Saccharomyces cerevisiae S288C: one gene and its partners. Changing the gene in region 4 together with the main gene of any one other region gives a genetic interaction. Each region holds a gene or a part of one and is shown on either strand. Other genes may lie near its edges. The genes, in order: RGD3, HIM1, YLL032C and RRN5.

The links.
Region 1: mutations in RRN5 (region 4) and RGD3 together harm fitness more than expected from each alone (negative genetic interaction), as found in Saccharomyces cerevisiae (one large-scale study listed by BioGRID).
Region 2: mutations in RRN5 (region 4) and HIM1 together harm fitness more than expected from each alone (negative genetic interaction), as found in Saccharomyces cerevisiae (one large-scale study listed by BioGRID).
Region 3: mutations in RRN5 (region 4) and YLL032C together harm fitness more than expected from each alone (negative genetic interaction), as found in Saccharomyces cerevisiae (one large-scale study listed by BioGRID).

The regions. Positions count from the first base shown.
Region 1 is NC_001140.6:466,306-471,092, reverse strand, and holds RGD3 (Rgd3p), read right to left. Parts: upstream 2,875-4,787; coding exon 517-2,874; downstream 1-516. Other genes in the region: phosphogluconate dehydrogenase (decarboxylating) GND1, read right to left, coding at 1-133; SVP26 (Svp26p), read right to left, coding at 3,179-3,865. UniProt on the Saccharomyces cerevisiae protein: GTPase activating protein (GAP) for RHO3 and CDC42 that binds membranes through phosphatidylinositol 4,5-bisphosphate. Plays a key role in cell polarity. Modulates the RHO3 distribution at the plasma membrane and its polarity during growth.
Region 2 is NC_001136.10:1,100,379-1,103,938, reverse strand, and holds HIM1 (Him1p), read right to left. Parts: upstream 1,756-3,560; coding exon 511-1,755; downstream 1-510. Other genes in the region: MCM21 (Mcm21p), read right to left, coding at 1-46, 130-181. UniProt on the Saccharomyces cerevisiae protein: May participate in the control of processing of mutational intermediates appearing during error-prone bypass of DNA damage.
Region 3 is NC_001144.5:73,753-78,580, reverse strand, and holds YLL032C (uncharacterized protein), read left to right. Parts: upstream 1-1,833; coding exon 1,834-4,311; downstream 4,312-4,828. Other genes in the region: mannose-ethanolamine phosphotransferase GPI13, read left to right, coding at 1-1,429; IRC19 (Irc19p), read right to left, coding at 4,480-4,828.
Region 4 is NC_001144.5:421,890-425,305, reverse strand, and holds RRN5 (Rrn5p), read right to left. Parts: upstream 1,624-3,416; coding exon 532-1,623; downstream 1-531. Other genes in the region: PUT1 (proline dehydrogenase), read right to left, coding at 1-120; SLS1 (Sls1p), read left to right, coding at 1,833-3,416. UniProt on the Saccharomyces cerevisiae protein: Component of the UAF (upstream activation factor) complex which interacts with the upstream element of the RNA polymerase I promoter and forms a stable preinitiation complex.

The DNA of each region.
Region 1 (4,787 bases), on a different chromosome or scaffold from region 4:
CATTGGCCAAGAAATGGTCGACCTTGGATTGAGTTCTGTTGTAAGCACAAACAGTGAAACCGTGGTCAGCAGCGTTCAAGATCAAATTTTGACCCATGACGGCCAAACCAATCAAACCGAAATCAGCAGACATTTTATTGTAGTTTTTGTATAGAAAGTGGCTTTTTTCTGTAATGGCAACAATACAGGTTTATATGTATCAGGCTATTTACTTTATTATGTAAGAAAGGACCCCACTAAGAAAAAAGGAAACCTTTGAAAAAGAAACAAGCTCAGGAACAATACTGCAGCTTTTAACGAACATCAGGCCCATTTATATAATACAGCCTCGAAGCCCACCAAGGCCAAAGCGCAAGGCCGCGTGGACCACCAGGACGAAGCACCGCGTAACACCGAGGCACCGTAATGTAACACCGACAGCCACAATAGGTACAAAAGCAGCACAACCTCGAGGCGGGACGAAAGAACAGAGAGGTAGCAGGTGATTTACGTAGTTACTATGTAGCATGCATGGAGTTATGTAGAAGGGACATCGTTGACGTTGATGGGAAGGAATAAACCACTCTTACGTTTAGGTCTCTCTGGGGTTGTCGGAGTAGAACTAGTCTTGAATGGCCGAGGTATGAAATGGCCATCCTTGTCGTTTGGCGGTGGCTTAGGGGTAGAGTGTATAGGTGCCGTTGTATCCTTTATAATTATCGTCGGCGGTTCAGTGAGTGTCGCAGTAGTTGCCGTCGTGATCCTGTTTGCGATCAACGTTTGCAAAGTTTCTACAGTTCTTTCGTTGATGAAAAATGTAGATAATGTTGGTGACAAGATTTTGATGTCGATAGGGTTCTGTAAGCCTGTTCTTCTTACGAAGTGATGGGCCAATGGTATGTCTATGTCACTGTTGTCTCTAAACAAATCTTGTATTGTTTGCGGCGGAAGTGAGTATTTGCTATTGATCAATTGAAAATGGTTTGCTAGTTCTTGTAGAAACCTTAAGGAGCTCGTCGGAAACTGTTCACATAGGGATGTTAGCGATTTTTCGGCCTTAATTAAGTCATCGTAGTGGTTTGAAGGTATTAGGCTGTCGGGTAGCTCTAACAGCCATAATTTTATCAGTCCGACGAGATCATTAGTGACATAGCTGTGCGAGTTTTCAAAAAAATGAGCAGTGATTATAGAGTTTGTATTTTCGGTAGTTTTCGATCCTTTGAATTCCCCCAATAAGTCTCTTTTCAAATTAGAAACCCTTACAAAATCAATATCCCTGTGCCAACTTTGTATGACTTTATTAGCATTTGGTTCCTTTTCAATCTGCCGCAGTATAATCTTTATTGCCCCTAACGTATCAAGAGCAGCCAGTTCATTATTTATTTCACTACCACAGAAAAACTTTTCGCTTTTTATGGAGATTTCTTTGCAAGCGTCGACTGGATCACTCGCTTCTAGGATATTCCACCTGCGAAAGGGTATGCCATTATCCCTGAGGAAAAACCCTCTTACATCCGCATTGGCAGTTTCCTGTGGCAGTTGTGCTTCTTGTAGAGAACACACAGGTGAGTCAGTAAATTTTTCACATTTTTGTTGAAACATCATGTTTGATGATTCTAGAGCTCGTTTGATTCCGTCCTCCATTTTAGAGTAATTTTTACAATAATCATAAATGGTTTTTTCCAACTGCACTTTAGAATATTCCAACTGGCAACACTTGGAGAAAAAAATATCTTGTGATGATTCAAGTTGCTGTTTTAAACTCTTCCACTCATTTTTATTCATATCTGTACTTCCCGCTGCATCGCAATCATCATTATCATGTTGACTAACTTTGCGGATCCAATCGGATATAGATGTTTTGATAGATGAAACGTTGGACTTTTCTTCGTGTTCATTGTCGGAGTGTGTTAACTCACCATACGATTTTTTTTTTCTGTTTCCAGCATTACCATTACTCTCTTGCGTAGCAAGGACTTCACTGTTCCAGTAATAGTATTTTTCCTGGTCAAACTGAGAAACTTTGCTAGAGTAAAAACTCAGGGAATATTCTTGTATTATACCCAGTTGGATGAATTCGTTACCTATCCTATCGATATTAAATAAGGACAGGTTTAGTCTGGGTTCAAGTTTTTTCAATTCTTTGATCAATGACCTGCCTTGGAAACTTTGATTTGACAATCCTGGAACGGAAAAGACACTTTTCTCCAGGATGACTTTTCCCTTCAAGGTTTGCAAAAATGACATAAATTGGTCGCAATCCTCAAATTTTAACCTCTCGTCTAAAGTGTAAGGAAACTCGCATACGAAGTTCAACCTGGTTAACGGTGCACTATCCTTTCCATTATCAAAAACAGAGGAAGAATTTTCCACTGGCGTATTGGCTTTTTTCAATTTATATATAGACTGAACTCTTTTCTCACATCCAATTAGTGCCTCTTTAGCTGCGACTAAATCCTTAATGTAAGCTGAATAACGAGATGACAAATCGTTTTCTGCCTCACGAAGGAAGCTCTCATTAAGATCTCTTAGTTCTTGCAATGGAATTTTACAATCTCTTTCAACTTGCTCTGTTGATATTATATTAAACTGTTTGCTCATCACTTCCAGCAGCCTGCTATTCATTGAATTGGTTGCTTCCATTTTTTGTAAATTGTTCAATGTTGGTTTCCAAAATTTGTTGACAAAATCATTGTAAAATTTGATGTCTTTAATCAGCAAATCATTTTCTCTCTTCATATGTTTTATGAATAATTTGATACCTGTTGTATAGTCTTTGGTCCAATATGTGTTCCTTAGTGAAATTTTAACTGAGTCGCAATCAATGGAGAGTTGCCTCGAATTCTGTAATTCATCACCAATAATATCTTCTTCGTTATGCTCTTTAACAGACATAACTAGAGACCGAAAGAAAATGCTCTCTTTCTCTTGCCTTTGTCTATGTAATGACAATACTTAATCTACTGGGCCTGACTGGTTTTTTGTTTACTAGTTGCTCTAAAAAATGCAAACGTCAATAAAAAAGAAAAATATGGAAAAGAAAATATACTTTCCCGTATTAACTTGGGTAAAATATAGTAGTATTGTATTGGTGATTTTTCTTTCCTGTGCAAAATAGTTGGCAGAGCATTACACATATTTCTTATTTAGAATATTCAAATAAAGAAAAACTAACTACATGTTAAAAAAAAAGGCAATCCTAAACAGCCAATCTATCAAAGTCAGGTTCTATCTCATAACCGAATACACGGGCTAGAGAGTAGATGTACTTCCTTACCGAGTTGATGACTACACGAGCTAACCCAACAGCCCTTTTACGAAATTTTGGCTGGTTGTTCGTTGTGATGTCATCATTTTTCTTAGCCATATGTTGCTCACTAGTCGTTGGTAGCACATAATCACCAGCTGACAGAGAAACAAATAAGGCAAATGGTATGAACCAAACGCATATACCAAAAAATGAGGCTACTTCAGCGAAACTAGCACGTCTGCGTGGTATATAATTTGGATCAAATTTGAACTGTGGGGGAACTTCCGTATCATTAAAATATTTGAACCAGAAGTAGTGATTCAAGACCACACATACGCAGCTTAATAGGAAAGTTGGGCTGGTTAACGAAATAAATGGGAAACTTTTTAAGTTTTGGTAATATACTATGTAACATGCAATGGAAAAAAGTGTAAGTTTGAACGGGAAACCGTCTAGTAACAGTAGCAGAATTAATATTAATATTATACCATAAATAGCCCTTGTGAGAAACCGTCTTGTGGGTTCTGTGTGTTCTTCAACAAGTTCACTAATGTAGTATAAACCCGATGCAATTGAAAGTGTTAAAAAAAGAAACCCTGAAACGGTTCCTGCATAAGAAATCAATTCTAACAGCATGGTTTTATTCTAACAATTTCTTTTCTCCCTTTTGCTCTTTTTCTCACTTGTCAACTATATGTTTTTAGTTTTAATTTTCACATTGACCATTCAACCTTTAAAAAATCATAAAGTTATAAATGATAGAGAAATAAGAACAAAGGGAAAAAAAATAATACCGGTATAATGCCACCTGCCAGAATTGAACTAGCGACCTTTGCATTACAAGTGCAACGCTCTACCACTAAGCTAAGGAGGCTAAAAATACAACTATGTTGTATCTCAAAATAAGATACGTCAGTATGACAATACGTCATCCCAAACGTTCATAAAACACACATAACAAACGAATAGAATGAGTAACATAACTGTTGGAATGCGAGAATGAGATATTTGTGAATTTTGAGATAATTTGTGGGAATCCATTGTTCACAAAGACAATAATATTAGGTATATAGAATATGCTAGAAGTTCTCCTAGAGGATATAGGAATCCTCAAAATGGAATCGATATTTCTACATGATAATATTAGGATTATTCCTCATTCCGTTTTATATGTTTCATTATCCCATTACATTATCAATCCTTGCACTTCAGCGTCCATTAAGTTCGATGACTGTGTCCCAATCCTATGTCATCTTCTTACACCGCATGTAATAATATAATAGTAATATGACTACTATAAATAGATGACATTTTAGAGTTTCATGTCTTCATAAATGTTTGGCAGGAAGTTTGAAAAGATGGAACGTGCTGCTGCTGATGTAAGGGTCTGAATAAAACCGGATGTCTTGGCAATCCTAATGTCGCTAGGATAGTTGCTTGTCTTTCCAACAAAAGATATAATTCACAAATATTTCTCTGTGCTCCGCATATATTTGGCTTGATGTTTTAAATAGTTTGTGAGTAGTAATTCAATACAAATACTATCAAGCTTTAAGAT
Region 2 (3,560 bases), on a different chromosome or scaffold from region 4:
TTTATCTTCGCTTTGAGCTTCTCACGACTTTCTTCTAATGAATTGACTGTGAAGATTCTACTATGTTAGTGTTCAACTTAATCATTTTTTTAAAAGAAAGAAAATTGTTACAGCCTCAAAATCACATACTTTCACTGAGTAAAGATTCAATGTCCTGCTGTAAATCATCGATTCTACTCATTGCCAGGAGCGTTACTGATAGTTTGAAAGAATTGCTCAAGTAAAGAAATCACATTTTCCCCTCATTATCCATATGGCTTTTGTTTGTTTTTTCTTCAGTTTTGAAATATGCGCGTTTTCTTACCATCATTATAAACTTAGGGAAGATCTATCATAGAATTGGTCGGCCATTACTGGCGATTAGTAAAACAATACATAAAGTTTGCATATTCAATGCGATAAAAATTTAAGACGGCCCAGGTATCGAATCCATGATATAGTGGTTCTTTTATGTATTAGGCTACTATTTATTTAATAACTTCGCATCTATCAAAAGAAAAGACTGACTGTTCACACAATCATATCAATTTGATAACTGCTAATTACTTCCAGCTTAGGTCCCGCCTCTTTACTTTTCCTTTCAATCGCCATCAAAGAGGCAACATAAGAAACCTTTGAAACTGGGACAGCGTATCCTAATAATGCAGATCCTGGCATCCTATATATACTGGAAGCAATTATTTCGCTTAACTTTGTTCTTAAGCCAATCCTTCTGGCCTCACTGATATATTTCTTTTTATAAACTAAAAGATAGTGAGGATAATAAAAAATTTTTTCCAAGAAAGTGGAGTTTTCTTTACCCAATTCAACGTTTATAGGATTTCCGTGCTGTCCACACATCGGACCTGGCCTCAAAATAACTAGCTCCTTTAGCTTATTTGGCAAAGCTTCATCCAAGTCATTTTCTAATTTAGCTTTTATTCTAAAATACTCGAAAGTTTTACTAAGAAAATCATTATTAAAGGCAGTTGTAACCACCAACCTTTTGTTAGTTGTATTCGTGAATTCTTGTGCTAAATTAAAAGGTAAGTAATAGTCAGCAAAGGAACTTGGTACCTGAGTTCTCCGCACTCTAGCTGAGGTGGAGCCCAAAGAGCACACCATAGTGCTAATATCACACAGACTAGGCAAACTTCTACCGGGAACGTAATTTTTGTTGTCAATGTCAAACTTTTCCAGCTTTTGTGTTCCTGAGAATATCCGTGGAAGCAATTTTGGCCAAGTTTCAGATCTGGGGATGATCAATTGCGTTACAGTAAAATTACAAATGATCTCAATACCTTTTTCCTTTCCGCATGCATAATGTAGTGTGTAACTGAACTGTTTCTGATTATAAACAAAAGAATAACCATCTTTTCCCCTCTCTTCAGGCGTATTTTTAATAAATCCTTCTTCAAAATTATCATAACAAAAAGTATTAGGACTAGACGGTACTTTTTCAGTGTCTTTTTCTTTCCTGCTTCTCAAGTAATATCTGCCACCTTGCCAAGTAACTGATCTCATATTTATATAATCAATGGTCTTCATAAATGATTTCTCCTCATTGATGCACCTTCTATTAACACAAAAGACATGTTTATTGAGAACGACATTTCCCTTTATTTCACTTAAGCTATCAAGCTTGCCTTGTAGGTCCGAAACATTTTTAATATATAAATTTATGTCCAACAGGTTCTCTAAAATACCTTTTCCTACTAAACTAGATGATCCAAACAATAAAACGTAATCTGTAAACGTGTTGACACTATAACTCATTTCTGATCAACCTTTCTAGTTTGGAATATTCTTCAAAGGGTCTATATGTATAAAAAGCTGTCATTTATATTAAAAAGAATTTATAGCGTTTACTGCGGATCAAAATTAAATACGTCAATTTTTCTTAAAATTTCTTTTAATCTAAATGACACAAAAAATGTCACCCATCATTATATGTATTGAAAACCAAAAAAAAAAAAGGAAAATTATACTTTCAATGAAAGACACAAAAATGAAGAAGTTCAAGGATATAAAAGTTAGTTTTTACCTGTTGAATTATATGCAGAGTTACTGTTAAATTACAACAACTTATCGTTTCTTGATGAGTATTCAAGGTGACGGAATATTATCATATATGATGTAATAAAATGACATAAATGATAAGAATGCGTTATCAAATTTAAAAGCAACTGAAACGCACGGATTGATGATAAAAAAGGATAACGATTGGTAACATTTAGACTAAAGAATAGATCGTAATATAGGAGATTTGAGAAATATGTGGGTAATTAGATAATTGTTGGGATTCCATTGTTGATAAAGGCTATAATATTAGGTATACAGAATATACTAGAAGTTCTCCTCGAGGATATAGGAATCCTCAAAATGGAATCTATATTTCTACATACTAATATTACGATTATTCCTCATTCCGTTTTATATGTTTATATTCATTGATCCTATTACATTATCAATCCTTGCGTTTCAGCTTCCTCTAACATCGATGACAGCTTCTCATAACTTATGTCATCATCTTAACACCGTATATGATAATATATTGATAATATAACTATTAGTTGATAGACGATAGTGGATTTTTATTCCAACATACCACCCATAATGTAATAGATCTAATGAATCCATTTGTTTGTTAATAGTTTGAATGTTTTTATCGGAAGAGGTTTGGTCATTACGTCTGCAATATTCTTTTTGGTTTCGATATAGCATACGTGCAGATGATTTCCTGATACTTCATCTCTTAGTCTCATTGCTTTAGTACCAAAAAATCTGTTTCTAAATTTCTCTTCATTATTGGATATAATTATACTGATTGTAGATTTACTGTCGGTTAGTAATCCTTTAGTAATTGGTTTCTTGTTAAGTTCTTGCACAAGGTGACTGAGGTTATTTAATAATGGGACAGATTCACTTATCGCGTGTATTTCTGCTTCCGTAGTTGAAGTACATGTTAATGAAGCCTTGGTGGACTTTCCTCCAATTACCTTTCCATTAAGTAAATATATGTTGCCAATTTGTGACTTGTAATATGGTTGGTTACCATATGAAGCATCACTTATTGCGACTAGTTTATTATCTGGCTCGGTAGGTTTGTTTTTGTGCCATATCAGTTGTTTATCTCTAGTGTCCCACATGAATTGTATTAACTCATATGTCATGTCTAAAACTTGCCTAGAGGGGAATAGTATATGTTGAGCAAGTGTGTTGATGTAGTATAGTAAGTCAAATCTAAATTTATATCCAACATATGAAGCTAGACCAATCAACTTTTGCATTTCATGTACCTTCTCTTTGTATTCATCTTCATCTATTTCTAGTTCATCCTGGTCTATATAAAGACCTGGTTGACCTGGAGCGCTAAGTTTTCTTCCTTTTGGATTCAAAGGTACGTTTAATTTGGGTATTTTCTCAGTTAATGAGTTTTCCATACCTAATTTCATGTATTTACCTCTTTGATATTTGATTTCTAAGCCAAGTATGTCGTACTGAATTTCGTTATCACTTTCACCCAGATTTATTATCTTTGTATCGTATTGTTTCTTGAGTGTTGTTATGATTTTCTTATT
Region 3 (4,828 bases), 350 kb from region 4:
GATTGCTATGAGACTGGGTGAAACATTAGCTGATTATTGGTCAAGAATTGCTGTCATGTTTATGATTATTCATGCTTTGCTTTTCACTTCCAATTCATTTACTATTTGGGAGGATAGAATTGTAGCATTCCTTTTATCTACTTTCGGCATGTTGACGTTGTATGAATTTGTCTTCTTACCAAAAAGGCAATCCACCACTGCATTATTAACTGCAACAATCAGTGAAAAGGAAGGAACCACTTCAGGGGTCAATCCTTCGACAGCAAATTCAAATTACTTACCATTAACAAGATTTGCAAGATTACTAGGAGGTTACCATTCTGCAGTTTTAATCATTTTTACCCGGTTAGCTTCTATGATTACCATTTGTAGAGAGGAACAAGGCGAATATTGTATTCCAACATTTAATAATCAAAACAATTCCTCGTGGTGGGTTTTGGGTCTCTGTTTCCTAATGATATTCATATTACCTGCATGCATCACCGGTTATTATAATCTAACATCGTCTTATCAAGCTGCAGCTCCAATTTGGATAAACGTTTTCCTAAAGGGTATCCTTGGTTTGAACTTTGTTTATTGGTCATTGACTTCATTAGAAAATAACAGTGCGGTAATAGCAATACCGTTCTTACGGGACGTCACTATTTTTAAATTTACGTTGGCTAGAATTATTGCCGGTTTTTCATTGATTGCTTCTAATGTCGGCTGGCTAATGGGACCACTTTGTATTAAATTAAACATTCATAATACTGATGTTAAGTCTCACGAAGCAACAATTTTAGGTTATACTAATATTTACGGCTCAGAGTTTTTTCTTTTGGTCATAAACGTTCTCATTAGTATCCTACTATTCAACAAACCCCTGGCCCAGTTGTCATACTTCCTCATGTGCAACCAACTACTATCAATTTTAGAAATTATCGATCTTTTAAAATTAAAGGAAAACATAATTGGTCCAATTGCGTTGGGACTCTTATCTTACCAACATTTTTTCACCACCGGTCATCAAGCCACAATTCCATCAGTGCAATGGGATATCGGATTTATGCTGTCTGAAAAGGTAACGTTCCCCTTCACTCAGATAGCCATCATCCTAAATACATTTGGGCCTCATATTCTCGTCTCCTTATCTGTAGCGTTACTGACACTGTGGTCACAGCCTCCTGATGTGTTGAAGCCACAAACACTTTTAGGAAGAATTGTGTCAAACTGCGGTATATTACTCACTTACAATACTATTTTATGTCTAAGCTCCTTTATTTGGGTTACTCACTTCCGTAGACACTTGATGGTTTGGAAAATCTTCTGCCCAAGGTTTATCTTTGCTTCTTTAAGTTTAATAGTCACTCAACTGGTCGTTACTTTTGGTACAATTGCATTTGCTAGTGGGAGATTGATTAAGCACATAAATGACATTTTTTGGAAATGACGAACTTCATTTCCACTCTTTACTTACAAATATACTATATATATATATCTACATGTAATTTAGATACAAGTAAATCATATCTCTTGATATTGCAAAAATTTGAAAGCAAAAGCATCTCTTTTCTGCAGCTTTATTCTTTTAAGATTGTACATTTTTCTATCACTTTCTTGTAATCCTAAATTATATTTTTCTCCAAAATTTTTCTTTTCGCTTGTAGATTGTTTTTTTTCCACAAAGGCAAAAAACAAAAACAAAATAAAAGAAATAAAGGATGAAAAGTCATCTTTGTTTATATAGCTAACCTCTTGACTACCTGAACCTTTTGAAGCACTATTCAAGCCCGCAGAGGTTAAGTCTACACAATTGTTTAAAAAGAAAAACAGCAGTAAACACACGGTTGAGGCATGGATAACTTCAAAATTTACAGTACAGTTATCACAACTGCTTTTTTACAAGTTCCACACTTATACACGACAAATAGATTATGGAAGCCCATAGAAGCACCTTTTTTAGTTGAATTTCTTCAAAAAAGAATAAGCTCCAAAGAACTTAAAAACACAAAAGCAATCTGTCATATAGATCCCTCATGGGTCAATCTAAATGCTTCTTTCATTAGAGATGACATGATCTCAATAAAAGCTACCACAGATGATATGGACCTCGATGCTATTTGCAGGATTTCTTTGCCCTTACCTATGAACACAAATGATCTAACAGCAGAATTGGAAAAAATGAAACGTATACTATTGGACTTGAGTGAAAAATTCAATTTAGAACTAATCATCACCAAAGAACCAGCTTACTTCACACCAGAACAGACAGGCGAGAGCAAGGAATTATGTATTTACGTGCATGCATTAGGATTCCGATCTAATTTAATGGAATGCGAACCCCAGTTATTGGCATTTGTCGATTTAATAAAGAAGAATGGTATGACTTTGCCTCCACAACACTACATTATCGAACCTATGGAACTGAACTCATACTCTGTGCTTCCCTTATATATGGGTGTAGATATGGAAAACTTCAAACATATATCCAGAGCTTTTAAAACCAGCATTTACGCACCTTCCCTCATTACGCTGTCTAGGGATCTTAAGGCAAATCCACAAATCTTCTTCTCAGGCGCTGTCCATTCACTAAGTTTACTGGCTAGGAAAACTCTACGTGAGTCCATAAGCGTGAATTCAAAGAGTTTTTTTTATCGTCGATTGACTAATATTACCCCAGGAAAACTACTGTTTATCCGAAAATACTACCAACAAAAGGTAAACCAGTTAATTTTGAAATACCAATCGCTTATTAGAGTTACTAACGAATACATTGAATTTCAATCGATTTCCACGAACTTATTAGAAATGGTTATTAAGAACTTCACTATTCAAGTATTACATGAAATTGTAGAAGTACAGATTTCACTCAATGAAAACTGCGCAATGTCCCCGGAATTAATAATCGACAGCTTTTTCGGACACACTGGAAACCAAATTGTAGTAATAACTCCCAAAGAGGATTCCTTCAACCAATTAATAGTAGTTGGTAACCAATCTTCCACAGATGAGGCGTCCGATACTTCCATATTGCATTACTTATCTGATTTTATTATGGGCTCAAATCAAGTGATTAATCCAAACTTAAGACAGATAAAAGCCATTTTCGAGATACATCCTGATTTTGAAGACTTCATATCAGGCAAGAAAAATGGTAAATTAACACGTATAATGGAACTATCTGCTTGCTTAATTCAACTGGAAATGGAAGAGGAAGATGATAACCTTTATTTAAATTTGGTTAGTGACTCTTTCCCTGATTTCAAGGAATCATTTAAGAATGTTATAAATGAATTTCCTGCCGAAGAATCTTTCTTCATTCCTGAAGTTTGTCACAGACCGATTATAGGTACAGGTGGTTCCTTAATTCAAGCCACAATGAGAAAGCATAACGTCTTCATTCAGTTTTCCAATAGTTTCAATCTTCCACAAAATAAAATTTCTATGATCAGGTATGATAATGTGATAATTAGGTGCCCCAGGAAAAACAAAGCTAATATATGCCTAGCCAAGAATGATTTAAAACAAATTGTTCAAGAATATGATAGTTTACAATCGAAGACGCTCATTAGATTTTCTAGTGGGCAATATAGACATATTTTGCATGTTAACGGCCAAAAGAATATTATAGGACAAATCGAAAAGAACGAAAATGTTTACATAATGATACCGTTAAAAGAGCCCTTGGATGGAACATCTCAATTGAGTATACAAGGAAATGATGAGAATGCATCAAGAGCCGCTAACGAATTGGTTAATAGTGCGTTTGGTTATGAATACGAGTTCAAAATAGATCAAGAGATAGATCCCAATAAAGAATACGAATTTTATAACCTAATTGTTGTTCCATTTTTGCAAATTATGAACATAATTGTAACTTTTGAGAAGGACCTTATCACTTTTACTTTTGAAAAGGATACTAATGAGAATACTCTAACAAAAGCAATCGAATTACTATCCAATTATTTGGAAACACAAAAGACGAAAATAATATTTAAAAAAATAATTAAAAAATTTGTTCTAGGGTCTGCCTCCAGCAAGAGTAACACCAGTAATAGCAATACCAATGGCAATTTCAGATCAATGAATAATGCCAAAAGTCGTACGACCATCGATAATACCAGCCAATCAGGAGCCTCACCACAACGCCACAAAATGCCTGTTATAACGACGGTAGGAGGAGCCCAAGCCATCAAAGGATATATACCAAACACTTATTACAACGGATATGGGTATGGATACGGATATACATACGAGTACGATTATAATTATGCCAACTCTAATAAAGCTCAAACCAATAATAGGCATAAATATCAAAATGGCAGAAAATGAGAAGGAAAAAAGTTCAGTAGTATTGTAACGTTCTACGCACCTTTTCAATGGATATGCACACCACAAAATATGTCATTGCGCATATCCGCATCTATTACAGTATTTGATTGATATTTTACCATACATACTAAAAAGCTCCGCTCCGCTCCTCTTTTACGATAATGATCTTTATAACCTTGTACCTAATGTCTCATTGAGATATATCAATGTTGTATCGAAATCACTAAATACTTTGAAAAGCGGAATCTTTTTCTTTTCGGTTTTATTTAGCTTAGTTAGCGGACTAGAAGTAGTTTTCAAATGAGAGAATTTGACGTCAAGCTCATCATGGCCTATTCCTCTATGCAAAATCGATCTGTACTTTTCATATTGCATTGTTAAAAGGTTCTTTAAAATTTGCCTGCAATATGTGTTGTCCCTTGCAATATCCCACTTTTGAACTTTTGTTTCGGGCAAGTATGAACAGCTCTTCAGAACAAATTCCAAGGTTCTTTGCATCTCAGTCACGGGGAGTATC
Region 4 (3,416 bases):
ATTAGCAGCCGTGTTAGAGTGTGTCGGAGTCTTTGACACATAGGACCTCTTTATCAAAGGAAAGCATAGAGAGGGTATGCGCGATTTAGTAACTAATAAGGAGCTTTTGGAAGCTATCATTTCTAGCGTGCGTTAGTGTTATTACTATGTAGCGATGTTTATGATATATAAAAGACAAAAGAGAAGAGCTGCTACGGACTTGTGGAGTTTGTGTTCGGTTCCCAGCAAGCTTTATATAAGAAGGCAGAAGGGTGAGAAAATGGGCTTAGTTCATGCGATTTCTCCTGATAATAGACGATACTAAGTACAATAATGAGATGATAAGGGAAATAGCGCCACTCATCAATTGTTTATCATTCATTTTTCTTGTGTAGATATGCTTTTCGGGATGCGAAACCCGAGGCGTGGTAACCGGAAAGCCATTGCCGAAAGGAAATTCCAATCAAAAAAGCGGTGGAGCTAACGGAGGGAATAAGCGAAAGAATAATGAAAACAAAAATTATGTCCCTGCGCGATTTTTCGCATTGTGTCTCATTTGGATAACCATTTTAGCAACTGATTTTCATGTAATGCTGATCGGAACAAGTCCGCTTCGTCGATTTCATCCCTTTCTGCCTCGCTTTCACCTTCACTTGCAGTGTTATCTTGTTCTTGATTTTCTTGATTTTCTTGATTTTCTTGATTTTCGTCTTGATGGACTGGGGGCGCATCCCGTCTGGACAACTGGCTTTGTAGAAACAGATGTGCCATCTCCTTGGTGCGGAACAGTTTGCCCTCTCGCGGATAGTCTAGTTCCCATTTGCGCAGTGTCAAAACAATGCGCCTTGGAAGCACGTGTAGGTCACGTGATCGGGCTTCTGTGCATAGTGCACGCTCAACTTGCCGGCGAGTTACCACCGTCGGTAGCGACTTGTGTCCTCGAGATTCGGCCGCCCTGGCGCTGACGCTGCGGGAAGCCATACCCGCAAGGGCCGTGCACCACAGCAATGTACGTGTGTAGCGACTTACGCAGCGCTCCAAAGTCTGCGTCGCGCTGCGCGATAGCGGCAGCGCGTGGCGGGGCAAGGGTCTTATCTCCGCGATACGGCTGTGCGAGTAGATGGCCACCCACCTGCGTTTCCAGCTTTCATAATCGATAAGGCCCTCGCAGTGTCCTTCCTCATCGGCAACCTCGGCTGCGCCTTCCGTGATGGCCATCACTGTCTCGCTCAGTTTTGTCTCCAGGGCAACCCACTCAGCGCTCATTTCGTACGCAATGGGCGCTCCGTCGTCACCCGCCTTACGCGATCTCGCGCTCGCACTCGCTCTCCTTAACAACCTGTAATAACCTAGAATCTCCATGGCGCTCTTCCGAGGCAACAATGAGCGCCACTCGTCTACACGGTGGATACTATAGCGTGAAAGGCACCAGAAAAAGGTATTCTTCTCCTCGCTGTCCCAGTCTACACCAACGCTAGAGATTTCTACACCAGCATTGGCGGTACCCGCCTTTTCATGGATGCTCTTTACATGTACTTTGGAAGGATGGAACTCAGCTGGGCGGCCTGACGCGGCACCATTGTAGAATTCCTCGACCTCCTTATTGTACAATTCGACGTACTTCCGCAATTGTTGGTGCTCCATCCTAGGTGACCGTCGTATGCGCTGTGCTTTCCTAGCTCTTCTTCCACTTCTGTTTCTCTATACTTTTTTTTTTGTTTTTCACCTCGCCCGCCTTTTCTTATTTCAGTGAACTGAAAAAAAAAAAAAAAGTTATGTATCTTTAATGTAATAAAACTAGTACATAATATATACGGAGCTTGAAGGCACTGGAGAAAATATAGAGTAAGCATATGTGGAAATTCAACAAAAAGCTCGCCCGTCTTACTTACCGTCTTTATTCAAGCTCAGGCCCAAGCTCGCCCCTTCATGGGAAGAAGAAACTGCCGCAAAATCTGAAATTCGTCGTCTTGAACCCTACCCAATCTGGGCTAGTGAAAAATGATCAGAAGCAGCCTAGACACAGGCCGTCTAAGAAACGTAGCCATAAGGAAACTGGAGATAACAACCTCGATTTCGGCTCGAAACTCCTTGTCTTCGAAAAGCAGAATTCACTAGATTCCGCATTGAACTCCATCCGATTGAAGAAACCGACAAGCGCCAGTCTGCCCTCCCTGGAATACAATGCCCTTCTCCAATCGCTTACATCAAGCTACAATCGCTACCAACTGCGCGAGTTCATCTCCACACATCAGCCAGACTCCTCTTCACATCTGACGCACTGGAAGAAAAGCAAGCTGTCCCAATATATAATTGAAAAAATCTGGAATTGCCAACCAATTTCAACACCCACCACTCCCACAGGCATCAAGTCCACATCATTGACTTTCCAGTTCGATTCTCCTAGAGAAATTTTCCTTTTACTCATCACTCAAAATGGTAAAATACTCACCAACTTCAATAAGCTCGGGCTGACATTCATCATCTCCATTCAGGATAACGAATTGACCGTCAAGGGTTCGCCTAGCTTGCTCAAATACGCAGAAATATCCTTAAACAAAATATGGTCAAACATCACTCATGAAAATGTGCGTATGTATTCCCTCATGCCATCAAAAGACGTCATCAACCTTATTCAGAAGGAAACTCACACTTTTTTTGAATACCTCCCGGACTTGCAAATGTACAAGATTTCAGCCCTAAGCACCAAGAAAATATCCATGGCCAAAGTCTTTTTATTAAATGCCGTCGCTTCTAATCCTAACACAACTCAACACCACCACACAATAGCCTCACCAGCACTCAAGACAGAACTCTATCCGTTCAACAATACTCTAGAGAACTTGGACTGGCTAAACAAGTCACAAGATTGGGCAAGATTACAGTCAGTTGTCCCTAAAAATTGCACAGATCTGATGACTCCCACTGAAAACGCCACACCAGAATTGACAGATGCGCAGGTCAGCCAATTCGAATCTTCCTTGTCTAAAAATATACCATCTCTCTCCCCTTCCGACTCTATTTCCCAATCTTTATCAATAACGCTAGGTCACTCCTTACAGTCCGCGTCTTTTTCTAGTATTTTCCAACCTCTAATACATAAGAGTTTTATTTCAAAATTACTGAATCTACCAATGTACAAAGAATCATCATCATCAGCCGTACCTGTGCCTGTGCCTCTTGATCAACATCTAATAACAAATGCGCATCAATCCTTCATACAGCTGAACTTCACTCCTGTGCCGCCCACCTCTGGCTCCTCCTCGTCCCCTTTTTTGCAGATTTGGTTCGAGATTGACGAATTCGATAACATTGTTACCACCTCAATGAGGCCTCTTTTGAAATTACAAGAAAATTCTGTTATCTTAAGAACTCCACAATGCCAGACAGACTATAAGATCACGTCAGATTACATTCAAGATCTTTTACCTGATTTC